Linked DNA regions of Lonchura striata. The protein of the gene in region 1 purifies or fractionates together with the protein of each later gene. This does not show direct contact. Links are inferred from orthologs where the notes say so. Each region holds a gene or a part of one and is shown on either strand. Other genes may lie near its edges.

Evidence for each region.
Region 2: the proteins of H2AX (region 1) and CALR purify together in Homo sapiens (affinity purification with western blotting; 3 studies listed by BioGRID and IntAct, with this or other methods). This does not show direct contact. The link is inferred for Lonchura striata from reciprocal best matches to the Homo sapiens genes H2AX and CALR.
Region 3: the proteins of H2AX (region 1) and ATM purify together in Homo sapiens (affinity purification with western blotting; 11 studies listed by BioGRID and IntAct, with this or other methods). This does not show direct contact. The link is inferred for Lonchura striata from reciprocal best matches to the Homo sapiens genes H2AX and ATM.
Region 4: the proteins of H2AX (region 1) and HNRNPR purify together in Homo sapiens (affinity purification with mass spectrometry; 3 studies listed by BioGRID and IntAct, with this or other methods). This does not show direct contact. The link is inferred for Lonchura striata from reciprocal best matches to the Homo sapiens genes H2AX and HNRNPR.

The regions. Positions count from the first base shown.
Region 1 is NC_134625.1:11,116,719-11,121,869, forward strand, and holds H2AX (histone H2AX), read right to left. Parts: upstream 1,227-5,151; 5' UTR 1,209-1,226; coding exon 807-1,208; 3' UTR 521-806; downstream 1-520. Other genes in the region: DPAGT1 (UDP-N-acetylglucosamine--dolichyl-phosphate N-acetylglucosaminephosphotransferase), read right to left, coding at 4,114-4,179. UniProt on the Homo sapiens protein: Variant histone H2A which replaces conventional H2A in a subset of nucleosomes. Nucleosomes wrap and compact DNA into chromatin, limiting DNA accessibility to the cellular machineries which require DNA as a template.
Region 2 is NC_134623.1:1,279,483-1,287,163, reverse strand, and holds the start of CALR (calreticulin), read right to left. Parts: upstream 3,002-7,681; 5' UTR 2,944-3,001; coding exon 2,847-2,943; intron 1,995-2,846; coding exon 1,893-1,994; intron 1,804-1,892; coding exon 1,600-1,803; intron 1,121-1,599; coding exon 1,026-1,120; intron 923-1,025; coding exon 713-922; intron 499-712; coding exon 385-498; intron 296-384; coding exon 152-295; intron 73-151; coding exon 1-72. Other genes in the region: FARSA (phenylalanine--tRNA ligase alpha subunit), read left to right, coding at 3,749-3,898, 3,978-4,115, 4,198-4,296, 4,638-4,750, 5,144-5,236, 5,506-5,634, 5,891-6,006, 6,357-6,441 and 5 more. UniProt on the Homo sapiens protein: Calcium-binding chaperone that promotes folding, oligomeric assembly and quality control in the endoplasmic reticulum (ER) via the calreticulin/calnexin cycle.
Region 3 is NC_134604.1:44,467,438-44,474,404, reverse strand, and holds the start of ATM (serine-protein kinase ATM), read right to left. Parts: upstream 3,005-6,967; 5' UTR 2,895-3,004; intron 1,198-2,894; 5' UTR 1,169-1,197; coding exon 1,097-1,168; intron 1,012-1,096; coding exon 899-1,011; intron 349-898; coding exon 203-348; intron 1-202. Other genes in the region: protein NPAT, read left to right, coding at 3,136-3,172, 6,195-6,313.
Region 4 is NC_134628.1:5,309,204-5,316,558, forward strand, and holds the start of HNRNPR (heterogeneous nuclear ribonucleoprotein R), read right to left. Parts: upstream 3,027-7,355; 5' UTR 2,958-3,026; coding exon 2,883-2,957; intron 1-2,882. UniProt on the Homo sapiens protein: Component of ribonucleosomes, which are complexes of at least 20 other different heterogeneous nuclear ribonucleoproteins (hnRNP). hnRNP play an important role in processing of precursor mRNA in the nucleus.

The DNA.
Region 1 (5,151 bases):
AAAAATAAAATAAAAGCCTTTAAGTGTTCAATTCCATTTAGGAGCAGAGTGCCTGTTGGGTTATAATCGGATACACAACTGCGCTGGTACTAAAATGCCGTACTGTGCTGAGTGTTTTCGGGAGTCATTATCTGGGCCTTTTCACTCACTGGATCACCAAAGGTTCCCATTAGATTCCTGATAGCATGTTCCTTATAGTAAAGGAGCAGAGATGCTACATTCACCCTTGGTCTTGGCAAAGGCTAATTACGTTCACCATTATACTAGCCAATTGGGTGGTATTAGATTGATACAATACATACATACACATATATATTAGACTAGCTAGATTGGCTTCCCTTGTATGTTTATCCACAAAGGTCACGAGAGCCAATTAGCTAGACTTGCCTATGAAGGGGGAGCTGAAGCAGAAGCCCAGATTCCAGACACTGGCTTCCTGCTCTTGCTACTGGGTCAGCATCCTCTGAGCAGGATTTTATTGTTACAGTGCCTTGAAGAAATACTGTAACAGCACCGGGGGTCCTGTTTTGTAAATAAAGTTTTATTTTCCAGACAACGTCCACTGCATGTCCCAGAGGTAGGTAGGAATGAAAATAACGGCTCCTTACTGAGCAGCTCTCAGGCTCAGTGTCTTGACTGACCCCGGGCCGGTTACTGCCCGCTCCCCCCGGCCCAGCTCCCCGCGGCCGGCCACGCCTCTCGCGCCCTGCCCTCCTCCCGCCTCCTCCGCGGATCGCAGCTCTCCCAGTGAGCAATGAGGTGGCCCTGAAAAGGGCCTTTGAATTGTGCCGGGAGGGCCGGCCGGCCTAGTACTCTTGCGACTGCTGCCGGCTGCCCTTCTTGCTGGTCTTCTTGGGCAGCAGCACAGCCTGGATGTTGGGCAGGACGCCGCCCTGCGCGATGGTAACGCCGCCTAACAGCTTGTTGAGCTCCTCGTCGTTGCGCACCGCCAGCTGCAGGTGACGGGGGATGATGCGCGTCTTCTTGTTGTCGCGAGCCGCGTTGCCCGCCAGCTCCAGGATCTCGGCGGTCAGGTACTCGAGCACGGCCGCCAGGTACACGGGCGCACCCGCCCCCACCCGCTCTGCGTAGTGCCCGCGCCGCAGCAGTCGGTGGACGCGCCCTACCGGGAACTGCAGCCCGGCCCGGGACGAGCGAGACTTGGCCTTAGCGCGGCCCTTGCCGCCGCTCTTGCCACGGCCGGACATGGCGCTCGCCGCGCTGCTGAACCGATGCGCCCGGGAGGCCGCGGCCGGGATTTTTATAACCTCCCGCCAAGTAGGGGCCAGCTCATTGGACAGCGCCGCCGCCCCTAGCTATTGGTGCGTTTGCCGGAAGAAGCTTTTTGCTGACTGGTCGCTTCTGTGATACCAACGCGCTTGCTCTGAATGTGTTGGCCGCGTGGTCCGGCCAATCAGCAAGCGAGGCGCCAAATTTAAACCACGCCGAGCGATCGCTGGGGCTCTGCCGCCGGCCCTCAGCGAGCATGCGCGCTGCCGCCGGTCCCTCCGCGCCTCTCGTGCCGCCCTCAGGGCGCACCGTGCTTTATGAGGGCTGGGGACAGTCCCTGCGCCTGGCTTCCACCCAGGGCAAGGTAGAGGGGCTCCCGGGATGCCTACAGACTGAAAGGTATCCCTGTCTGTTGGGCATTTACCTTAGGGTGGCACATGGGGGGAAGAACAGTTAGGGATATGAAAAAACCTACCATGAGATCCTTTTGTCAATGTGTGAGATACATCATGGGTTTATAATACAGGTATATTAAGAGAAGCACCAAAGGAGAGTGAGGAGTCAAAGTGGACTAGGAGAAAAAAACCCATGGGAACATTGAAGGAAAAATAAAAGTGAAGAAAGTGGTAATGTTTTAAAATGTTGCTGATCAGTAAGAATTATCTCTGCAGTCTGTGCTGTCTTAATTAACCCAACTTGTATGTTTTTTCCCCCAGAGTGAGCAGACTGTCTATGCTGTGTGCCTCTGGAGGTCCAGTTGCCAGCAACTAGGATTAGGACACAAATCAGAGCAGCCAGTGTCGTTCCAGAAAATGGGAAGACTTCAGCACATGCAGGAAGGGCCCAGGGCTAGGTGGAATGCAAGTGTGAGTCATCCCTAGCGAAGGAGCAAGACCTAGACAGCAAGTAGGATAATGGGCTTTGGAGCCCAGGACCAGATACGGGAGCAGCAGGATGCTTACTGGAGGTAAGCCAACTTTCTGAGGAAAATGGAGTGGCTGTCCTAGAAGTACCTATTGGAAGGCCACATTCCTAGGTCAGCTAGCAGAGAGATTTCTCTGTTCATATTCCTTGATACCAGGAAATCTAGCAGCTGGTTACTGGACAGACTGTTTAAGGCCAGGAACTGAATGATTTTGTTATGAACAAAACAGCCTGGCTGGGACACTTGGCTCGAACTAAGTACTGACATTGAAATGTTAATTACCCAATTGCTCCTGGGAATCACCTACACCCCCACCCAAACTAGGACTGGGATGCAGAAGAATCCAGTGGAATCATGGGAGGGGGTTTTGGGGATGAAAAACACCCCTAAATGTAAAAGAGGGGCACAGTGGAGGGGGCTGGATGGGTGTGCTGGTTGGGGAAAAGGGAAGCCCATCCCTAGTCTGTGTTTGACCTGTCACCATGACCTGCTGAGGACCAGATTGGACTGGGCTGTGGGAAGCAGGCACAAGGAATCAGACACTTTACCTGGTGTTACCAGGAGGGCAGGAGGGGGATAGCTGCTGCTGGACCTTAGCAGCAGGCTCTGCACATCCCCCCAGCCTTCGGAGGAAAGGAGAGAGGATGGTCTGCTGGGACTTCAGATACAGACTGGACACCTCTGCACCTCCGGCTACCAGCGTGCCACTCCAGGGACAGACTCTGCAGCCTTCTCACCCTTCGGCTACCGGAAGAAGCTACACCACCCCTGTGCCGAGCTGACTTTTTAATAGAGCTGAACACTAATAAAGGCATGGACCCTGTTCATTTCAATTTCATGATGTCTATGTGGATGTGGTGATGAATACACTGTACTAGTAGACTTACAAACTGATCTGCTGGAGGGAAGGAAGAGGCTTCAGCCACTTGTACCATTCATACTTGAGTGCTGTGTGTTTTCTGTGTTGATCAGTGCTGCTGGACACAGGCATTTTTGCCTTCTGGTAATGCATTCCAAGCCTTGTTACTAGCCGAACTTGGGTGTTGGGAGGTGCAAAGACTATAATCTGGTACCCCAATGGCTGTTCTATGTTTTTTCTGTAGCAATTCTGTGTTCAACTGGTGCTAAATACTGCTCTATAAGTAGCTATTTGTAATCGAGGAAAAGGGATTGGCAGTTAGCCAATCAGGGCCTTAGTTCTACATTAATAAAGGATCTATTGATTCCCTCTTAAGACAAGGATGTGGTGATCCTCACTCTGCTAGCATGTCCTCTTCCAGGGAGGAAGGCAGACTATAAAGGTATTCAGAATTAAAACCTCATCAGCAGGAACATTTCCAGTAGCCATAAAAAATAGGGAGTCCACTGCAGAAATGATCAACTGCCTAAGAGGGTAGAAAGCTACAGATGGATATAACCTAGTTTCACTGCCTGTCAATATTGTCGAGGCAAAGCACTGCAGGGGAAAGGGTACCATGAATTGTTTTATTCTTGGAGCACTCTGAGCTTTGAGTATGGGTTATAACATGTCATTCTATGTCCATGGACCAAAAACAGGATTGAGAAGCCAGGAACGGAGTCTGGTTTCCTTATTTTCCTCACAGAAATTAAAGTTGCTGTTTTCTCTCTTGGTGAACAGTAATGACTTTGCTAGATGTATAGAGATTCCATCTTTCCCACTTTCCCTAAGTGCTGTCATTTGCTTCCCCTCTAAAATGTATTCTTAATAACACCGATGTCCAAGTAGCAGTGAATCTTTTCTACCACAGAATTGGACAAAAGCCTTTGGTGCACAAAGAACATCCTGGTTCAAAACTAGCCCATGCAAAGCAGTTGCTTGCATTTTGACAGGTATTCTGAGGATCCCAGAAGGCAGGAGCAACATCAGTTGAATCATTTGGTCAAGCAACTGGAGGAGATGGCAGGTAGAACTCTTTCCCTTGCTCCCAACAGTCCAGTCAGACATCATAAAACAAGCGCACTAGTTGGTACCGGATTGAAAATGCAATCGTGCTGCCAAGGACCTAGGTAAAAATCAGACACATAACAGAAACATTATACTGTCAAATGGTTTACAGGCTGTCAGATTCCTCTTTTCCAAATGGATTTGCTAAACTTTCCAGTATGCCTTGTTTCATAAAAGAGCAACTAAAAGGCTACTTCTTTTAGGTATAGGAAGATAAATGGCAGGCCAACCAAAGACATTGTTTCTTTCTCTGATGATTTTAGATATCAGTGGGAGATTTCTCCATGTTCCTGCACACAATCACATTCTAAGAACACGTGGATGAGATAAAAGTTGGAGTAACTCCTTCTCCCTTAAGGAGCCTGTATTGTAACATAAACCCCGTGGTTTGTATTAGAAAATACCTTATGTCAAAGCTGAAATTCAGCATCCTTACTATAAGGTGCTGTCTGGACTTCTCTGCTGTGACTGGGTAAGTGCTATGTACTTCCTGTCTTCTCCCATCCCCGATGTCATCTGCCTGAGCCCTCAACAGGCTTTCATTGCAAGTTTTTCCTCTCAAATCAGAAACTGCCTGTCTCTTTCCTAGTAAGAATACCTTATCCTAAATCTGAAGATGAAAAGAAGGATTTTATTGTGGGCAGTTAATCAATGCAGGCCTTTCCAAAAAGTGATGTTTTTACTACACTATGCTCAAAAATTCACATGCTGAATAGAGGCAGTGGCAAGATCTGTGAAGCATATCCTTATGCTCCAAGTGGCTTCCAAATGCTCCCACATGCCCCTCAGACTGAGAAACTGCTGAGCCGTGTGCCATGCTTACAGAAGCCCACTTGCTGGTGACAACTCTGAGACTGTTACTTGGTATTACTGAAAAACAGGACATACCAAAAGGCTGTCTTGAGCAAGAGTGACAAGGCACTCTGCTGTGCTCATGTTTTCCTTGGAATCAATTACTCGTGCTTTGGGAATCTTCTTAAGCTAACCTCCTGACTTTTTTTTATAAGCTCTCAGTGAACAGAGAGCTGTG
Region 2 (7,681 bases), on another chromosome or scaffold:
GTTCCCGATCTCCTCCGCCAGTTTCTCGTCGTCCGTGATCAGGAAGTTGTCGAAGATGGTGCCTGACTTCACCTGTGGGCACGGGGCAGTCAGGGGGGGTCCTGCAGCTCCTGGGGACCCCCCGAGACCCCTCCTGGGGACCCCCCCTCACCTGCCAGAGGTCGAGGCCGATGACCCCGAAGCTGTCGTAGGAGTAGAGCAGGGGGTCGGGGCTGTACTCGGGGTTGTCGATCTCAGGGTGCACCCACTTGCCCTTGTAGTCGGGGTTGTCGATCTGCTGCGGCCTCCACTCGCCCTGGTGGGGGGCACAAGTTGGGGCTCAGAGGGGGCTCAGCCCCTCCCCCAGCAGCCCCCCAACACCGCAGCAGCCCCCCCAGGCCTCACCTTGTACTCGGGGTTCTGGATCACGGGGGGCTCCCACTCCCCGTCCATCTCCTCGTCCCAATCCTCCGGTTTCTTGGCGTCGGGGTCCGGGATGTGCTCGGGTTTGTCCCAGTCCTGCAAGGGGGGTGGGTTGGGGGGCTCAGGGGGCTGCTGTGGCTCCCCAGGACCACCCTCGCCTCCCCACCTCTCACCCAGTCCCCCCCATTCTCCCCCTAATCCTTCCAGGACCTTTTCACAACACCCCCCCAAATCTCCTGGAGACCCCCCAGGTTCCTCCCTAAAACCCCTCCAATCCCCCCCCAAAAGCCCCTCCAAGCCCCCTCCCCACCTCAGGTTTGGTGTCCTCGGGGTCATCGATCTTGGCCCGCTCATCCCAGTCCTCAGGTTTCTTGGCCTCGGGGTCTTTGATCTTTTTGGGGGGCAGGAAATCCCAATCCTCCTCCAGGCTCCCCGACTCCACGCGGGCGTTGTCGATCTTCACCTCGTAGGTGTTGTCCGGCCGCACCACCAGCGTGTACAGGTGGGTGAATTCGTCGTCCTGGGGGGCACAGGGGGGGCTCAGCAGGGCTGCAGACCCCCCCCCCGACCCTACACAGCAGGGGACAGCAGGACCCCCCACCCCCAAAAGCCCCCAGACCCACCTTGCAGCGAATGTCCTTATTGATCAGCACGTTCTTCCCTTTGTAGTTAAAAATCACGTGCACCTTCTTGGTGCCGGGGCCGCAGATGTCGGGGCCTGGCGAAACATGGAGAAAAATTAAATTTCACCATTTTAACAAAGATTTGTAGGCAAAAGTATATTTATTTACAGTGCTGTGGATGCATGTGGGGACTCATCACTTTTCAATGGACATGTGAACCCGTGGAACTCCTGATCCTTTTTTATAACCCTGACTAATTTCTACAAGCATAAAATTTAGTAATAGGCTCATACATATTTATTTTGCTGATTTCACGTTACGCTAAATATATTTCTATTTTATTACATTTTTTACTCTGTCTCACTGGGGCTGGGGGGGACACAGGGTCACGGAAAGGGGCTGAGGGGCAAAGGGGGGGCAATGGGGTCAGAGAAAGGGGCTGAGACCACCCTGGGGGGCTGGGGGGACATGGTGCTAGGGAAAAGACCACCCCAAGGGGGCTGGGGGGCGAGGGGGAGACTCAGGGTCAGGGAAAGGGGCTGAGACCACCCTGGGGGGCTTGGGGGACACCCACCAAACATGATGTTGTACTCGGAGTCGCCGTGCATGTCCTCCTGGCTGAGGCTGGCCGGGAAGAGCTTGACGTAGCCGCCGCCACAGTCGATGTTCTGCTCATGCTTGACAGTGAACTGCACCACCAGCGTCTTGTCGCGGTTGCTGAAGGGCTCGAAGCGCGACGACAGCGCGTAGAACCGGGCGTCCTGGCTCGTTTGGATCCCTGCGGGACGTGGGGCGTGGTTGGGGAAGGGGGAGAAAACCCCAGCCTCGAGGTCTTTCCCCCTCCGCCTGCCGTGCTCCCCGGCTCACCTTTGTCCTTCTCGGCGTCGCCGTAGAACTTGCCGGCGGTGAGGACGAAGCGGCCGTAGTCGGGTTTGTGCTTGGATTCCACCCACCGGCGGGTCCAGGCGTCTGTGAGGGGGCAGGATCAGCACCCCCAAAGCCCTCCTGCCCGCCCAGCTCAGGGCTTGGGGCAGGGTCTCTTTGCTGGATGGTTTTAGGCTCGCAGAGGAAAGCTGAGTCCCCCCACCCGCCAGGAACCCTCTCCATGTGGCTGCTGCGTTCCTCACGAGCCTTTTTCCTGCTCTTTTCTCTCTTGTCCACCTGCTCTGCTGAGGCTGAGCCCCCTCAGCCTGTCCCTCCAGTGACCCTTGCTGGCTCAGGGATTCCTCAGCAGCTTCGTCCTGCCTGCCCTGACTCCCACTCGCTGCCCACACCTGAGGAGTGGCTCCTGCACGCCCTGTCACCTCAGGGAGCAGCACGTTCCACATTCTCTGCCCTCACACAACACCCGAGGATCCCCTCCTCGTTTCCCTCAGAGACCACAGCAGAGTGCCCCCATTCTGTTCTGTTCCCCTCACAGAACACAGATCAGTCCCCCCCATTATTTCTTTAAAGAACACAGCGGGATCACTCCATTTTCCCCTCTCAGAACACGGTGAGGGGGGGGGCGGTCACTGAATTCTCTCCCTTCACAAAACACAACAGGCTCCCTCCTTTCTCGCCTTACAAGTCACACGGGGTGCTCCCATTCCCTCCCCTCACAGACCACAAGAGGATCCCCTAATTCTCCCTTCAGAAAAGACGGGAAGGTCTCTCCATTCTCTCCCCTCACAAGACACAAGAGGGCCCTCCCAGCCTCCTGCCTCCCCCTCAGACTCCCCTCAGACTCCCCAGGCACCGCCCCCCCTCAACCCCTTCACCTCAAAAGCCCCCCCCCCTCAGGCCCCGCCCTCAGCGACCCCCTCCCGGCCCCTCCCTCACCTCCATCCCCGAACTCCTCGCGGAAGAACTGGGTGGGGCCGGCGGCCGCCAGGAGGGCTCCGAACAGGACGGGGCCGAGGACGCCGAGGGGGCTCATGGCTGGCGGGGGAGGGGGTTTAGGAACACTCGCTCCGTCCGTCCCGGCCCGGCGCCGCCCGGCACTGCGGAGGGGGGAGGAGGTGCCGCCGCCTTTTATACTCCCGCCGCCCCTCGCCCTGCCTCCGCCGCCCTGCCATTGGCCCGAGGCCGCGCGCGGCCCTCTCCCATTGGCCGCCCGCCCGCCCGCCGCCGGCGACGGCGCCCCCGAACGTTGGCGTCCCAGATGGCCGCTTCCCATTGGCTGAGCGCGGTGGCCAATGAGGAGCGACCACGCGTTCGGAGGGAGACGCCCCCCCCCGCCCGCCTCGCTCTGGGGGTCACGTGGGGCGCGCGCTCTTAAAGGGACAGGCCCGGCAGCGGAGGTGGGAGGGAGGGAATTTAAGGGGAAATCGGGAATATGGGGAGGGAGCAAGGCGCACGCGGGGTAGGGCGGCCTCCTGCTCGCCTTTCCCTTCACACAGCGCCGCGACGCGGGGGTGATGTCATGGATTAAGTGGGGTCGCGGCAGGTGTGATCGCAAGGATGGTGGACCCGGGCCGGGGGCTGCTCTAAGGAACCCCTGGGCCATATCAGCCCGGCTGGGCTCCGCGGTGGACAGCGTGACGTCATTTTGCAACTTCCTGACGTCACTGCGCCCCCCCGCAGCCACCTGCGTGACCCCCCCACACGCGCACGCGCCACACCCAACATGGCGCCCACCACGCTCCGCACGGGGCTCTGCGCCACTCCCAAGATGGCGCCCGCAGCGAGGCGCTTTGCCGGCGCCGTACGGAACTTCCGGTTCTCCGGGCTCACTTCCGGCCATGGCGCCCAGCGTGGCGGAGCGACTGCTGCAGCGGCTGGGCCAGCCCGGCGCTGCCGCGGGGCTCTGCAGCCTCGAGGCCGCCGCCCAGCTCGGCGTCGACCACCAGGCGCTCGTGGGCGCCGTCAAGAGCCTGCAGGCGCTGGGCGAGGTGCGGCCGCCGCGGCGCGGGGGGAGCCCCGGGCGCCGGTACCGGGCGGTGCTGACCCCCCGCCCCGGTGCCGGTGCAGGTGATCGAGGCGGAGGCGAGGACGGCCACACGATGGGAGCTGAGCGCCGAGGGCGAGGAGGTGCTGCGGGACGGCAGCCCCGAGGTGCGGCTGTTCCGGAGCATCCCCGAGGAGGGGCTGCCGCAGGGCGAGGCCGTGGTGGGTACCGGGGGCACCGGGGCGGGGGGCGGTACCGGCACCGGCGGTCGTCGCGCTGCTCACGGCTGCTGTGTCCTCGCAGAAGCTGCCCGGGGGCTCCTTGGGCTTCAGCAAGGCCATGGCCAACAAGTGGGTGCGGCTGGATAAGGGAGCGGCCGGAGGCCCACGCGTGCTCCGCGCCGTGAGTGGCCCGGGGGAACGGGCGGGGGTCCCCGGGAGGCGGGAGTGCCCCGGGGAGGGGGCACGGAGGTCCCCGGGAGGCGGGAGTGGCCCAAGGTGGGGTGACTGGGGGTCACTGGGAGCAGGGGGTGCCTTGAGGAGGGGTCTGGGGGTCTCTGGTTGTCCTGAGGAGGGGTCTGGGGGTCTCTGATTCCCGGGGATGTCCCGCGGGGGGCGGGGGGGATCCCTGGAAGCCGGGAGCAGGCTGGGGGTGAATGGGTGGGGGTCCTCGGGGGTGACAAACGGGGGTCCCTGGGGGTCAGGAGTATTTGGGGAGGGGTCTGCCAGCCCCGTGCCCCCCAGGTGCCCTCGGTGCAGGACACGGTGCAGGAGCACCTGGGCCAGGTGAGGGCCGGGGGCGCCCTGCCCGAGCGGGAGCGCGCCGAGCTCAAGAGGAGGAAGCTGCTCCTGGAAGTGTGAGTGGGGCAGAGCCAATTAATTACTTCCAAATTTCACAGTCTCACTCATTAATTAGATTAGGGGTTGTTGATTTATCAGTTTTCGTTTCTGTCCACGCTCTTTGAGCCTTTCGTTGTGCTTTTGTCAGGCTGGCAGTGTCCAGTCTAACAGGTTTTTGGGGCCTCACCGACCCCATTTTTAAACCTTTGTGGGTTTTTTTTTAACTGAAGTTTGTCACGGTTAACCCCAGCGAAATTAAAACCTCAGCGATCTAACAACCCAATTAAACTGTGTCAAACTCCTGCGGGCGAAGCATTAAATAAAAACGCCGTGAAGCCGACCTTTAATGAAATTAGCGCTAATTAACGAGGAGATGGGGGGTCACCGATGCTCTCACTGCCCTCCCCCAGGACCCTCAAATCCTACTGGATCCGCAAGGGCAGCGCCTTCAGCACGGAGGTGGCGCGGCCGGAGACGGAGCTGACCCCGGAGATGATCGCCACGTAGGCGACACCCATCCCTCCCCGAGCCTCCCCGACCCCCCAGGACCCTCCCCGACCTCCCAGGACCTTCCCTGACCTCCCAGGACCCTCCCTGACCCCCCAGGACCCTCCCTGACCCCTCCCAGGACCCTCCCTGAGCCCCAAGGACCTTCCCTGACCCCCCCAGGACCCTCCCTGACCCTCCAAGACCCTCCCTGAGCCCCCAGGACCCTCCTCGAGCCCCCAGGCCCCTCCCCAGCCCTGCAGTGACCCCCTGGCCCGTCCTGCAGGGGCTCCTGGCGCCAGCTGCCCTTCAAACCCTACAACTTCTCCTCGCTGGGGCTGCCCCCCGCCTGCGGCCACCTGCACCCCCTGCTCAAGGTGCGCTCGGAGCTGCGCCAGATCTTCCTGGAGATGGGGTGAGCGGAGGGCCGGGGGGCCTGATTCACCTGTGGGGGCTTCACCTGCAGCTCCTGGGGACCCCCCCTCAGACCCCAAAGCTGTCGGAGGAGTGGAGCAGGGAGGGGGTCGGGGCTGCGCTCGTCGTTGTCGATCTGCTGCGGCCTTGGGGGGCACAAATGGGGGTTCAGAGGGGGCCCCAGCCCCTTCCCCGGCAGCCCCCCAGGGCCTCACTTTGTGTACTCGGGGTTCTGGATCATGGGGGGGCCCCGCCAGGTTCACGGAGATGCCCACGAAGAATTTTGTGGAGAGCTCCTTCTGGAATTTCGACGCGCTCTTCCAGCCCCAGCAGCACCCGGCGCGTGACCAGCACGACACCTTCTTCCTGCTGGGTGGGTGCTGGGGGGCACGGGGACCTGCTGACCCCCCTGGGACCCCTCTGAACCCCCCAGCCCTGCCCCACACCCCTCTGATCCCCCACATCCCTCTGAACCCCCCTCAGCCCCCCAGCCCTGCCCCACACCCCTCTGATCCCCCACAGCCCCCCAGCCCTGCCCCACACCCCCCTGATCCCCCATACCCCTCTGACAAGCCCCCCACAGCCCCGCAACACTGCCCCACACCCCTCTGATCCCCCACATCCCTCTGATCCCCCAGACCCCTCTGACAAGCTCCCCTGAGCCCCCACAAACACCCCTCAAAGCCCTCCAGGCCCCCCCCCTCACCTTTTTGCCCCCCCCAGACCCCGCTGAAGCCCCCCAGTTGCCCCCTGGCTACTACTCCAAGGTGAAGAAGGTGCACTCGCAGGGAGGCTACGGCTCACAGGGGTGAGACCCCGACCCTGGGGGGCGATTCAGGGGGGTCCCGTGTGTGTCCCCCACCCCTCTGAAGCCCCTTTTTGGCCCCCCCCCCAGGTACAGGTATGAGTGGAAGGTGGAGGAGGCGCGGAAGAACCTGCTGAGGACCCACACCACGTCAGCCAGCGCCCGCGCCCTGTTCCAGCTGGCACGGCAGGTCTGGGGGCTTGGGGAGGGTCTGAGGGGCTTTGGGAGCCCAGGCAGGGTCTGGGGGGGTTCCCACGAGGGGGAACAGAGGGATTTTTTGGGGGGGATTAGTGGGTTTTGGGTGCGGGTGGGATTCGGGGGGCTCAGATCGGTTTAGGAGGCTCAGCGTTGTTGGGGGCTCAGGAAGCTCGGAGCAGCTTGAGGAGGATCAGAGCAGTTGTGGGGCAGTCTGGGGGTCCCAGCTGCCCCCCATCATCCCCGTGTATCTCCCCTCCCACACCCCAGGAGAAGTTCGCCCCCGTGAAATATTTCTCCATCGACCGCGTGTTCCGCAACGAGAGCCTGGACGCGACGCACTTGGCCGAGTTCCACCAGGTCGAGGGGCTGGTGGCCGACCGGGGGCTCACCCTGGGCCACCTCATGGGCATCCTCCGGCAGTTCTTCACCAAGCTGGGTACACGGGGGGCACTGGGGGGGACCCCTCGGACCCCCCGTGTGCCCCCCTGACCCCCCGTGTGCCCCCCAGGCATCTCCCAGCTGCGTTTCAAACCTGCCTACAACCCCTACACGGAGCCCAGCATGGAGGTGTTCAGCTACCACGAGGGTGAGGGGGGGTCCCCACTTGGAGCAGGGGGGTCTTGGGGGGGTTTTCTCTTAGAGCTGGGGGTCTGGGGATGACCTTGAGCTCCCCTGGAGCGGGGGGAGCGCTGTGGGGTTCTGATATGGGGAGGGGGTCTGTGGGTGCTGATCCTCGTCTGCCCCCCTCGCCCCCCAGGGCTGAAGAAGTGGGTGGAGGTGGGAAACTCGGGGGTCTTCCGCCCCGAGCTGCTGCTGCCCATGGGGCTCCCCGAGAACGTCTCCGTCATCGCCTGGGGGCTGTCGCTGGAGCGGTGAGTGGGGGGGTTCACCTGCGGGGGGGGACCCCAATGTGGGCCCATCCCACCCCCTGACCCCCCAAATCTCACCTTCCCCCCCAGACCCACCATGATCAAATACGGCATCAACAACATCCGGGAGCTGGTGGGGCACCGTGTCAACCTGCAGATGGTCTACGACAGCCCCA
Region 3 (6,967 bases), on another chromosome or scaffold:
GTAATTAGAAAAAGGCACTGTGAACACCAAAAAGGACAGATAAGGAGCACAAGTGACAGATTCACCTTAAGATATTTAAATAGCAAAAACCTGGAAGCAAATATGATGAGCCCTACATTGGTAACTTCAAAGATAAATTCAAAGTTGAAAGCAAAGTACCAAACCAAACCAGTATCTCTATATGATAATACGTATTACTGACGTTTATTGGCACATCTGATGAAATATTTGACCAAACTTCCAAATTCTTGTATTTTTTTCTGTCTTGCAGTTTGGGTTGAAGCAGATGCATTTGGTTTTGTCAGTTGCAGGTTTTTAAGTTCTTTCTGGAAATATTTCTGCAAGACACTTCAAAAATAAAGGAGAGATTAACCAAGGATCTGCTCATTTATGACTGAAGTAAAATAGGAAAATGTTGGTTTAGGCTAAAATGCCAGTTCCTGTTCTTCTCACAATTGTGATTATCAAAGACTAAACCCAACTGAAATACACTACAGTCCAAGCATGACTGGAAAACAGCTTATAAAAGGAGACGCAAGTTTTAAAAATAACCCATAGCAACTTGGAGTAGGAATCAAACTTTCCTTTAAACTTTGCACAGTGCTAAACATACAACTTACAATTAAGAAAAAAGCATTGCTAAGTATTTTTATTTATGCTGCAACATTATAAAACAAAATAATAAGAAGTATTTATCATTGCTTTTACTGCAAAAGCCTTTAAGTCTTATTTCCTTATAATTCGAAGTTAATATATGGATTATGTCTTAGATCTATGAATAAATTACACTTTTCACGGTATTTGTCATGTAATTGCTATAGATTTTCTGGCCTTCTATTTAAATTCATGTCCCATTCAAGAAAATTGTGACCATTCACAAACAAAACCAAGAAGCTACCTAAATACAGCATCCCAGTTGAGTTGCTTTGCTTGTTTAGAATCAGAATTCCGGTCCAGCTGGAGAACTGTTTCAGAATCACGGAGAAGTTGCTTGAAATTTTCAATTTCCTTCTGAAAATGTATTACAAAAAGAATAATTTGTTATGATTCCCTTCATTGCGATTTGAGGTATACTGCCCAAAAGAAAACTTGTTACCCTTCGCTCCACAGCTTTCTCATTTTCAAGGCGACGACAACAAACCAGCAGATCATGTAATGCAAGACTCATGGTTCAGCTTAAAGAAGAGTCATTTATATCTGCACACAGAAGAAATGGATAAAATAGTAATTATTGACCATGCAGCCCAGTAAAAATGTATACTGAAAGTCCAGTATCAAACAGAACCACGATGTTCAATGTTTCACCAAAAAGCTCATTTGCAGCTGGGTCAGTCTTATTGGTTGAAAACTCAAGCAGTTTCATGTCAAGAATGCGATCTATTCCCACAGACAACAGTCACAGAATAACTGCAGAGAACCCCATCACATAATTCTGACTTCCTCCCTTTCCCATGAGCGCTGAGTAGACCTGGGCAGACAATTGAGAGGACAATTATAGTAAGAATGACAGAGCTAAATACACTCTGGCAAGTGGACCTAACTTTCAGTAGCCCTCTTAACCTGATACTGCCAGGAGAAGGCACCGCCTGGAAAATGCTCCCTCACATTGTAAATTTTCATAGGTATGCACTATCTATTGATGAATCCCCAGGGACTAAACATGCCAAAGGATGATTAAGTATCAGTCATATGAAAAAACAACTTTTCCTTCTGTCATCACTTAAAAGTATGCTTCTTCTTCCATAGAGGTTTGAATTAGCTAGACCTTGTATTACATGAAGTTACGATGTTGCAGATCAGAACCATGACATTCTATTTAAATCCTCTGCTTCTACTTTTGCACCCTTAAAGTAGACTCAAGAGAAACCCTGTTTGGAAAAGACAGATCACACAAGCTGGAAGTAACTCCAAACACGTGCTGCTGGATGTAATAAGCAAGGGAGAACAGGCATTCATGATGCACAGCACTGCATCTTGAGTGCTTACATGACAATACAAAAATCGTCATTTAAATAAGCAAAACTTTAAATATCTACTGTCTTAGACTGCATTTATTTCCTTTGGTGTCAATCAAGATCAGGCTGGAACTAAGTAAGATCAGAGATTCGGTGACTCATAGATGTGTGTGAAAAATAATACATTTTAAGTGTGAAGGCTGCCTGTACTGCACAACCGCACTTATTTAAATTAAATGTTCCTTTACTAAATTCAAGAACCATCCTGAGTTGGAAGGGACGCACAAGGATCCCCTAAGTCCAATTCCTGGCCCTGTGCAGGACGCAAGAATCACATCAAATGCCTGAAAGAGTTGTCCGAGCAGCTCTTGCAGTCAGGCAGGTTGGCGCTGAGAGCTCTTCCCTGGGGAGCCTGCGCCAGCGCTCAACCACTCTCTGTCCCTCTGGTGGTTGGGCACCGGAACACAAAACAACCCAACCCAGCAGACTCGATGCTCTTGCTGGAAACGAAACGGAAACAAACTTTTCAAACACCCGCGGCTTCTGATGCGCTTGATCGAAAACTGCGGCAACAAGGGTCGTCTGCTGCCAACAACCATAACAGCAGCACTGAGAAATTCCCAAGAATGAATCCACGTACTCTTTCTCTTGCTGATTAGTTTTCCACCTATCCCATGACGGCCGCCTTCCCGCGCACATGAATGACACATGGGAAGGCGGGCGCACCAAAACCATGAACGGCGGAGAGAGGAGCTGGCGGAGGCGCTGCGAGGTGCCCCGGCACGGGCACGCAGGCAGCGCCGAGCGGCAGCCCTGGCCCCGGCAACCCCGCCAGCCCCGGCCCCGGTCCCGGCAGCCCCGGTCCCGGTAACCCCGGGCCGCCGCCCCTCAGCGCCGCAGCCGGGGCCGCGGCCGCCCCGCCCGGGCCCAGCCCCTCACCTCGGCCGTGGCGCTCGCAGCCCCGCTCCCGGCGGGGCGCAGCGGAGCGGGGCTCACGCGTGGAAGCCGCGGCTGCGGGCGGACCTGGAAGCGGATGAGCGGCCGCGGCGGGTTCCGGCGGAAGGGGCCGGGCGCGGCGCTGGCTGGCGGAGTTTCCGCGCCTTCGCCTGGGTGGCGGGGCGGCCGGCTGCGCCCGCCCGTGCCCCGCTGCGCCCGCCCGTGCCCCGCTGCGCCTCGGGCCATGCTGCTGCCGTCCGACGTGGCCCGGCTGGTGCTGGGTGAGTGAGCCGGGAGGGACGGAGGGATGCCTGGGTGAGGCGCGGAGCACCGGGAGGGCTGTGCCGGGCATTGTCAGCCGCCCGAGGCGCGGCGGGACACGGCCGGCTTCGCCCTTGCCCCTTGGCAACGTCTCTTGGTCCCCCAGGCTGGATTGTCGCTGCCGGCGTTTATACCGGGCGCTGCTGGGCCGGCCCGCCGCCCCCCGGCCCGGCCTGTGCTCGCTGCTGGGGGATTCGGGGCTGAGCGAGCAGGCCGCTCCCCAGCCGTGCCTTGGGCTCGGCTTCTTGGCGAGTCCAGGGAAACGTGGCGGTCTGCGGTGCCCACCTGCACACCGAGAGCTGCTGAGCCGTGCTTCAACAGTTCCTGATTGCAGGAGTCCAAGCGTGACCCGAAATCCCAGGGAGGGCTGCGTTAAGGGTCAGATGGTTTTTCTTTTCGACCGTGTTTCGCTCACTTTTGAGGATGCACTTAAGAGTTCAGACTCGTGATCAGAGTCTATGGAAAGCACTGCGTAAGTGTGTTCAGGACACTGGTAGCAGACAGTGAATCTTTAAAAATGACTTTATGCTTTGGATTATTTGGATTCTGCCAAAGGTGAGAGCAAATTGATGGTAAGGAAAAATATGACTCACATATTTCAGTCCCACATGTACAAAGTACTTATTGGCACAGGTTGCCATGATTTCCTGGCAGCTTGCCCTGTGAGATTCAGTTTTCAGTTTTTTAAAATCCAAAGACATTAAAACTGAAACTCTTCTTAAGTGTTCCCCTAGCACAAGTTATTTTTAAATACTACCTGAACTGTTGCTTGCTACTGTCTTGAGAAAAAGGCTAGTGAGAGATGCAATTTTTTTATTACTGTGAAGTAACAGGATTTTTAGAAACTCCATGGACTGTAAAAGAAAATTTGAATTCATACAAGTGAGATCTCTCATTGCGCTCTTCCAAACAAGATTGGTGAAGTTACAAGTTTCCAGGTAGAAAGCTTTTCTTATGTGCTTACCAGCAACCTGAAGATGTAGCACACAATCTTGGCATCCTGTGTGCTGAGAATGATCCATCCTGTCTTGTGTCTGTTGTGGCACGGAGCATGCATCATGTCTGGAAAACCTCTGAGCAACCTAAAGTTGCAGAACAGGACATTCCTTGTAACCATTTTTATTCTCTAATAGGGATTCCTCTTCTGTGAGACATCTCTGAATTTCAGTGGTAAATAGACTTCCCAGTGCAAGCTCTTCCACCTTTCTCCCCCAAGCCCCCCACAAAATCTTTCTGGTGCTGTGAAAGTTGATGAGTATTTGTTAAAGAAACAAAACTAAAATTATAAGCTGAGCTCACACACAGGATATGCATAAGAACATTTATCTTTTCCTATCTGATAGAGTGAATGTGTACTATGGGTTAGACATTTCTTAAGGTAGAGCAAAATATTGAATAATTTCCATACATTCAAAATCTACGTAGGACACCTTTTGTGCCTTTGATTTTGGTGTCCTATGTCATTATACAGTGTGTGCACAAGCAGTTTGGGCCAGATGCACAGGCATTTTTAGCCTTTGAAATGCTTTATTACCAGGAAACTGGTGTATGTCAAACGTGCCCGTATGCAAACATTCGGTCATCACTTGTGATACTGTAGTAGTAGGTTCAAGAAAGAAAAACGGCAACTTTTTTTGTTAAGTGTTCAGGTAAGGATGATTGTAAGAGCAGTCATACCTGCACAGATCAGAGCTCCTCTGAACCTAATACCCCATCTTCCAGCCTGGACCATAGTGAGATATCATTGTGTTTGTGGAGAAATACACATTCAGCCACTTGTGGCTCGAGATTTTTCTAGGAAAAATGTAATTGAAAAATTAAATAGGATATTCCTTTTCTTTCTGCAGGCACTACTGATGTTTTCTGTCAGGTCAGGCCTGCTTTTACATTGTGATTAAATTCACAGTGGGTATTCCCAGGCTGTGTTTAATTTTCAAGTTTGCCTACTTGTTGAAGACATGAACAAGACTTGCATGATGGAAATACTATTTGTTTTCTTCAGCTGTACTCAGATCTGCTGAAAGATATTTGTTCTCATTTAAACGGCACTTAAAGGGCACATTTTTCTGCAGGTATTCATGAACTGAGGTGGAGCATTTTGGGGGTCCATTGAAATAGATAATGTATATATCCTGCGTTGTACAACTAGGCACATGTTTTATTTTATCCTTAAAACATTCCATGCTAAGCTCTGCTAGGAGCGAGAAGGAAGAAACATTTTCTCTGTGTTTCTTTGTTTTAGAATCCTTCATTCAGATTGGTCTATTTCTATCTTTTAGTGTTTAAGGTGTTTGAAGATTAAAGCAGGGTTAAAATGTTTAATTAAAGCAGAACATATTTGACGAAAAGAAAACTTTGTCAGTACATTTTCTGTGATGGTAACTACTGATTCATAGGGTGTAGAGAGCAAAATTTGCATCTGGTACATCTATCCTAAATGAAAATTTCTGTAAGTGTGTGGGGGGGACCTTTTCTGTTACTAATTTTTGTACAGTGCCAATATTTTTAATATATCTTATCCACTATTGCAGCAGCTGTACAGGTTTTACCTATTTTGAAACAGTACAATGTGTGGAGAATTACTCTTACATAGCAAGGTGTTTCATTAACAAAATATTGTAGATTTCCATTGAAGTATCAAATAGGGTGGTTCAGCCCATATGAGGGTTTGTTTGTCAGCCTTCTGAGCTGAGAACATTTATTTTCTTGTGTGTAAAGATAAACTAAAATTTGTTCATATTGCCTCACTTCCAGTTTTGAGTACTTTGAAAATACAATGTCATTACAATCTATATTTTTTTCTCTTCTGGGTTTTAACTGTTAAATATCTGGTAGGAACGTATGTATTTTCAAAATAATGACACTTCCCTTTTATTACATGGAAATTTTTATCTGATTATTCCAGCACTGTATTCAGATTTGATACCTATTGAGCAGAAATAATGAATGAAATAGCAAAATTTTCCATCTAATTTGTTGCAGGCTATTTGCAACAGGAAAATCTTCAAGCTACCTGCCATCAATTTATTCTGGAAAGTTCAGATTTGAAAGAATATGCAGAGCACTGTACAGAAGATGGTTTTATTCCAGCCTGCTTGCTGGTGAGTTTGTATTTGCAAAGCAGAAACTTACATTGTCTTGCATCCATGGAAAACAATATAGTGGATTTCTCAGTGCAACAATTAATTCTCAAATGCTGCTTAAAATGTTTGATATTTGATTTGTTTAGTGTTTTTTTCATCCTGTGATATTAGCAGTTATTTGGTTTCTAGTATTTATGCTTACTAAGAAAAATGTAAGCGTGAAATATGCAAATTGGTTTCAGAATATTATGCTTAGGCTGCTTTACAGCTTTGAGGTTGATTTATGGAAGGGTGTTGTCACAAGGGTTTTCTTGATTTTAGGGCTACTTCTGTAATTTACAAGATCACTTTCCTATTCTAGGCATGGCAGCCAATAATTTTCCATTTCAGGTGCATTGTAAGTATTTAGGTAAGGCACCTCAGATTTATTTAAGTCTAACAAATTTGATTGACAAAAATTGTGTTCAGCCTCCTCTCTATTTGATATCATCTGCATTGTTCCGGGTGAAAGGCAGGATTTTGGGTGTGCATAAATAGTGTGTAGCCACATCTCTAGATACATGTGTAGAGCTCTAGACCATAATTAGATAGTTTGCATTTTAAACAAATTTACAAAATGGAATTTTTACTATACTTTGTAAATCACAGGATTGAGGTATTGCTGTTTGTCAA
Region 4 (7,355 bases), on another chromosome or scaffold:
ATGTTGCCTACCCTCACACCTCCTAACTGCACACCGGGAGAGGTCTTGTTTCAAGTTTCACACTGCTGTTGCAAACAATGCTTTGCTGAAAACTGTAAATACTTCATGATAAAAAGCATGGTTTTAGCTGTTCACTATCTTTCATCCAAAATTCCTGCATCTTGAGAGTAATTTACAAAATTACTAGCCCCCTTTTTAAGCTCTCATATGACAAGTAGGAAGTTAAAACTACAGGCGATTCCAGTGTTTCATAACTTATATGGCTCAATTAGTTATTTTTCTGGAAAACAAAAAAATTAACAGAGGTGTGGTCCTCAAGGTTTATGGCATCTTGAAAAGAGATACCTGATCACAGCCTTAATCTGACAATCACTGGATAAACAGCCATGATGTTACTATTTCCTTTATCTTATACCATGCCTCTAACAGAGGTTGCCACCTACAGACTATCTAAGTATAACTCCATCCAATTAATTATAAATTCAGTCTAGTTAACTCAAAACATGCTTAGGAGCAGCTTAATTGAGAAGGAACAGAAAATTTCTGGCAAGAGGACAATATCTAAAATGACCACAACAAACTTCAGTGATTACACATCAATACTGGTTTTGCTGCTGAAAGCTTAGTTTCATGCAGGAATGGGACTTGCTTAGCTCAGGTGCACAGGAAGCCAACCAATGCATCCATAAAAACTCTGCACCAAAGTCATTCCACTCACTTATGTTGCTACTCCGAATCAATACACTATCTGTGTTAAGCAGTTAAGTTAAATCATGTTAAAAATAACACTGAAGGAAGTTTGAGGAACATTTGTTTGGTTTTGTTGTTTTAATTGACCACAAGGGAACAAATGCAGTCCCTATAGTTATGCCTCACACATCAAGAAGGTTCTTGTCAAGCAAGGAAGATAAATATACAAGTGGGGGGAAAATAAGAATTCACATTTAAAATCTGAACTGGGGTTTTATTAAAACCTCACTTGTTCAGAAATATTTCTGTACACAAAGGCATGTACAAAAGGGTGGGCCCTTTATTTTGTACATAAAGGCATTTTAGCCATTTCTTTTATACCATATCTTATTCAAACACAGAAAGCACATTTTTAATAACTTAATTATGATATGCTAGGTGTTTTTTGGCATGAATTACATGAAACCTTATTTTGAAGTAAACACAGCCTGAAGACCTTCACAGAATAGCCAGGATTTCTCACTACCTGTAAGCCAAAATGCAGCTGGCACCCTCACCTCTCCAGCTCAGCCTTGCTCACTCCACAGCCCCTTGGAAAAATCTGACAACCTCCAGTACAATGCCAAGCAAGGGACCAGCACAGCCCAGAGAGAAACAAACTCTGCTTCCAGTACCCACACAACTATGACTGGGAGATGACTTTAGCACAGCAAGTTAGCAACGCGCCCATCAGTGCCATTAAAAAACACTGACTGCACCAATAGCTCCTCTGTTTTGCTAATCTAAACCGTCTGCCCATGCTCATTTCTCACTGGAGTTGGCTATTCATAGCTCATCTGGTTGTCCGAGTTGTACTAAACAACACTCTCAGTACTCCAGTTCCAAGCAACACTTCAAAAGAAATGAGCTTTGTTCTAAAGAATTTATCCTTAAAGAATTTTGCAGATGTCTAACAAAGCAGGGAATACTGGGATTTTTGACTCAACCAGGAACTTAAGTGCCAGCAGGCGACTCGAGTATTATTTCAACAGTGTTCACTTAGAAAAACTGAGAAATAAGGACATGCAATGCTTGTGGGAAACACAATTTCAAGGAAGCAAAATTTTCAAGCAGACACTGCTCGTTTGCAAACACTACATTTTACACAGGTTACAAAAACACCTAACACTGTGAGATGCAAAATTCATTAGATTACTTTTACAAGTAAAAAACAAAAAACTATGCTAAAGTGTAGTCTCAAAGTGAAAAAACCCAACCAATCAAAAAACCGAAGCACCAGCTTCATGAGCATTAATGTCCTTTGCAGCACGAAGTGCCGGTGAGATCCTTCAGAGCCATAAACATGGGAAAGGGAAGCCAACACACTGTTTCAAAAAGAGTAGTCCAGCACAGCTTATGTACTTAAGTAGCATGTTCAAATACTGACAGGTAACAAGGCTGTTCAGACCGAGTAAATAAAGTCTTATTTTTAAAGTATTTGCAACAATGATGCATTTAAACAAAACTTTTCAAGATTTAGTAAAGGCTTTCGACAAAAGTTAATTCAAGAAAAACAACGTCTGAACAACAAAACTTTGGCTAGTTTCCCCTTTAAGCACTTGACAAGCGTTATTCCCTCCGTGGAAGTAGGAAGCGCAGAGCCGAGCGCTGCGGGTGGGCGCAGCTGTCCCTGCCGGCTCCAGCACATCATGCGCTACCCAAGATCTAAGGGCGCGCTGCGACAGCGACGCGTTCGCTGCTGAGAGCGTTCCTCTGCGCCCGCGGACAGAGCGGACCGCGCACAACCGCAACAGCCGGGGCTGCTGCGGCTTTAAGAGCCCGGAGGGACCGAGCAGGGACCCGACCCGACCCACAGCCCCGGGAGAGGCGCGTCCCGGCCGCCCGTCACATGCAACCCTGATCCGCACGGCTGGGCGGAGCGGGCCGGCCGCCCCCCACCCCCACCCGCCGGGCCCGCCCCCGGCCCCTCCCCGGCGCCGCTCCCGCGCCCGCGCCCGCCCGCTTTGCCCGTGGAGCAGCCCCGCCATGGCCCCCGCCCCCCTTCGCTCCGCCGCGCCAGCTCCCCGGGCCCGTCCCCGCCCGCGCCGGGCCTGCCCGCAACCCGCGCCGCCCGTCCCCTCGCGGGGCCCACGCAGGAGCGCTCGGCGCGGCCGCGGAGCGCCCCTGCCCCGCGGGGCGGCCCCGGCACTCACCGGAGCGGGGCCGGCGCGGCGCAGCTCGGGCCCAAGCAGCGACGGCAAATGGCGCGCGCTCCTCCTTCTCCTCATGGACGGCGGCGCGACCCCGGCAGCACGCGGGGTTTCCCGGAACTGTTTCCAGGGACCGCTGCTTCGCCCACTCAGAAACCCGCGCTGCGGACGGGCAGCCGGCAGAGCCAATGAGATGCGAGAGGCGGGACGCGCCATTCCTCCGGGCGGCCAATGAGAGGGAGGCGCCGTAACCAATCGCGGGGCGCCTTCCACCCGGCGCGCCGGTAGGGCCGGACTGGGGGCATTTAAAGGGGCAGCGCCTCCCGCGGCCCGAACAAAGGGAGCGCGCGGGGCCGCTGCGCTCGGCTCCGCCCCGCGCGCAGGGCGGGACCGGGGCTGAGGGGGCGACACCGGGGCTGCCCCGGCGCTGCTCCCCGCGGTGCGCCCCGCGGTGCGCCCGGGACCCGGGGCTGCTCCCCGCGGTGCGCCCGGGACCCCGGGGCTGCTCCCCGCGGTGCGCCCGGGGCTGCGGCTGCCCCTGTTCCCCGCGGCGCGCCCGGGACCCCGGCGCGGCCCTGTCCGCCCCTGCGGCCTCTCGCTCTCTCCGAGCCTTTGCCTTGTGTGAGCCCCCGGACCGGGGCTGGCCGCGATGCCCTCCAGGCCCGAGGCGAGGAGGAGAAGCCATGCGGCTGCGGGAGCTACGGGTCAGGCTTATCTCAGGACACAGCTCTACAGCTGCTAATCTGTAATTAACCGGAGATTAAGTCTTACTTGCCTGCTCACCAGATTTTCTTGATCAGGCTCTTGATGAGTGCCGGCTGGACACAATAAAGAGATAAGTGAGGAAGACATCAGCCTGTTGGCACCGATGGTGTTGGGCCGGCTTCACGTGCTTGTCATGCTGTTGCATAACGTGGAAGTCAATGTGTGCTGGGTTGGGTCAGGCTGAGTCCCAGAGTGCTGTGTGAAACTAAACCCAGAGCACCTGCACGTGTTCCTACGGTCATGTCAACTGTGCGGCTGGAATCTGTGCAAACCACAGTCGCATCTGGTGCAGATGCAACTGTGCCTCTGGAATCTAACAAAAGTAACAGCTCATGTATTCTCAGAGAAGGATCTTCAGTACTTTCACCCCAAAATTACTTTCCTAAAGATGGCATGTGTCTGTGTGGTGACTATCGTATGTGTGATGTCCCACCACTGGTGATGTGGGACTTGTGGAAATGTGGTATGTTATGTCCAATGTTTCCAAGTCAGAAGCTGGAGACAGATTCTGGAGGTGTTCAGTCTGTCTTGCTGAACCTGTCTGGTGACAGACATGCTGCTTCTCTTGTAGAATTGGCAGTGCCTCAGTGACTTCCCTCTTGAGATCTGGCAGTAGAGCCAGCTTTTCAGTGCTGGGTATTGGGTCTACTGTGGTGTAGAGATGGAAAGAGGGGTAATCATTCATTGCCTTGTCCATCCCAGTTCACTGCAGTGTTTTTTTCTGGTAGTTAAGAATGATGGGTTAAAGGAGTTCTCACAATACAAATATTGAGAGGAATTGAGGGAACTTAACATTATTAGGGGTGCTTAAAAATGTCCTGTAAAGCTCTTAAATATTTTATAATATAGTAACTAGGAATGAATAATGAAGTATAATGACATATGTCCTGTCAGCTGGCAACTGAACATGATGAGGCTAATAAGCAAAATGTATCTTGAGAATAATTTCCGGAATATCTCTAGCAACTCCCACCCTAGGTTATGTGTGCTTTGCACTGCTTTGTTCTTTGGTCTCATGTTACACACTACAGCCTCAGCCCAAAATGATCTGACACCTCTAGCCAGGAAGAAGCTATAGCCTGCAGGTATTTGGGTTAGTGCCAGACGGCAAGCAATGCCTGAGAGGAGGCCCTAGATGCTCTGAGATGATGTAATTTAAATTTTGGATAGATTTCTCAATTTTAATCTTTGCTAGAAAATCCCAGAATGCGACTAGTTACAGCTCTCTGTGATGGGAGCTGAACAGGTACATGCAAGATCTGATTTAGTCCTGGGCCAAGACAAAATAAATTTGTTTTGGAACCAAGGAGAGGATTAATCTCAGCTGCTGAGAGCTGGGAGGGGAGGATGCCCTGACCATGCAGAGGGAGAGCCTGCCTGGCAAGGAGGCTGCCCTGCTCTGCTCCTTCAGCACCCCTTTGGGGACAGAGCAAAGTGAAGGGATCCAGCTTTTCCACTTACAACTTGTTGGCATTTTCCTGTGTTCAGTGGCCAGAGGTTGCTGAAGCTCAGCGTGTTCCCATCAGTCTGTCGCTTCCCTTCCACACTGGGCTGAAATTCCTGGGTGTTCCACATCAATGGCAAGATGACAGAGTTGAATCTGATGTAATTTGTAGGTGAGCTGTTAACTTATAGATGGAATATTACATTTCCTGATGCTCTAGACTTCTTACCCTGACCAATCATTAGTGTGCAGCATATAATGGATGATATATTACAGATGTGCCCACCTCCAGTAAATACCTTGTTCTCTGGAGCTCTCAGAGAACAGCTCCTACATGTTTGCTAAATCCCAGGCTTTCAGGGGGAGGTCTGTCTTAAAAATCTTCAAGCTTTATTTATCAGTAAGAAACTTTCTGAGCGCCCTCAGTGTGTTCCACGACCTCTACAACAGGGAAATGCTCAGAAAAATTTCTGCCTGCAGAGGCCATGCTACTGTTATTACCCTGTGCACATATGTTTATTTTGCCTCACACAGGCAGTGTAGTTGATTTTTAGGAAAACACACACATGTGCTTTGTCTTTGTCTTGCCTCTTTCCCTTTATCTGCTCTGGAGTGGGAAGGTTGAGTGTGACAAAAAGGCCCAAAGAGACCAGACTGGGCTACCTGGGTGCCTTGCATTAAAACCAGCTTGCTAAAGATCTTGGATCTCACGTTCCTTTCTTTTCATTTTTTTCCCCCACCCCTGAGCCAAGGATTATTTGCAATTTCCATCACATTTGTGTAGGATGCAGCAGAAACCAAGCAACTTGGGAAATAGCTTCTGTTTGCTGCAGCAAAAATCACCAGCTCAGTTTTAGCTGAAAATAAATTGCACTTTTCTTTCTCCTGCAGTAGCTAAGTAGTGCTGGGCTGTGATCTTTTGAAGCACAGTACAGACAGAGGATCTGGTGTTAAGGATAAGCATCTGCTCCAAGAAGTGAAACTCTTCATGGAGCTGCACTGTAGGTGGCTATGGGAAGTCAGGGTGTTGTGAATAGGGTCAATCCAACCCTGAAGAACTAGCAAATAATCAAGATGCACCAGTTCTGGCAGAGAAGAGAGAAGAATCCCTTCCTTTGTGTACCCCTGTGCCTGGGGGACAAAGCAGGGGACTAGTCATGCCATCAGCCATTCCAGAGCAATTGAGGAAACCCAGAACAATTAGTCCCTCTGTGGCCTGTGATGTGAGTTCAGCACTATCCTTGCAGCCTTACCTGTTTCAAACATCAGCTTTGGGTTTTGGTTGCTCTGAACCAGAATTAGATGGCAGATGTTTGTTGCTTTCCAAAAGAAAACTAAGCCCTGTCTTCCAGCTTGCACAGACTGAGGGGGAATCCTGGAAAGGTCTCTTGACAACTTGTGCCTTTTTAACTCCCCAGCAACCACCCAGTCTGAGGTATAATCTTATTTTACTCCCCGGCATTCCTGCTCTGGAATCCTGCAGCAAACAGTCTGTAGCTGGCATCTCTCCATCCACAGGCCCTGGAAGTGGTGAGTGAACCCAAACTGCTTGCTGCAAGTCATTTAAATGTTCATGTCATTTGCTGGTGGGCAAGAAAGCTCTGTGGTGTAGCAAGGTACTGACTTGCACACTGCAGCCCTGAGGGAATTCAGCAGTGGTACAAAGGTCCAAATCTCTGCATTCCCAGTCTCATAGCAAATCCTCCCCCTTACAGGTGCTTGGGCAGAGGCTCTGTGGCTGAGTTTACATGGCATAGTTAGTACACCAAAATGCAGAATAAAACCCAGAGATGTGAATTTAAACCCTCATCTGTTCCTTTCTGAATACAGAGTTGGCCTAATATTTATGTCAGCTCTCCACAGTTCACTGAAGCTGTTAGTGCCAAACTTCTCACTAGTGACTCTGCAACTTTTGGGGAAGCCAACCCTGGAAAAACATTCTGAAAAAGGCAAAAAAATGGATTTTTAAATAGTTATAACCCAAACCCAATAGTATATTGCTTTTCATGACTCAGTTCATCTCACCAGGTTCAGAGAGGTGGGGAGGGTGCTTGTAATTTGTTAATTAGCCCCAAATAAAAGGAACAAAGCCCACAGGAAGCTCTGCACACAGCCTTGGCAGAACTCACCACACCACAGACTGAGCATGGCCAGGCAAGGACACTCCATAGCCTCTCTTCCAGGGCTCATCACATGGGTGACATATTCATTGAAGAAGAGGGTTTAAGGACATTAGAGTGACAGTGGTGTCACTCACTCTGCAGATA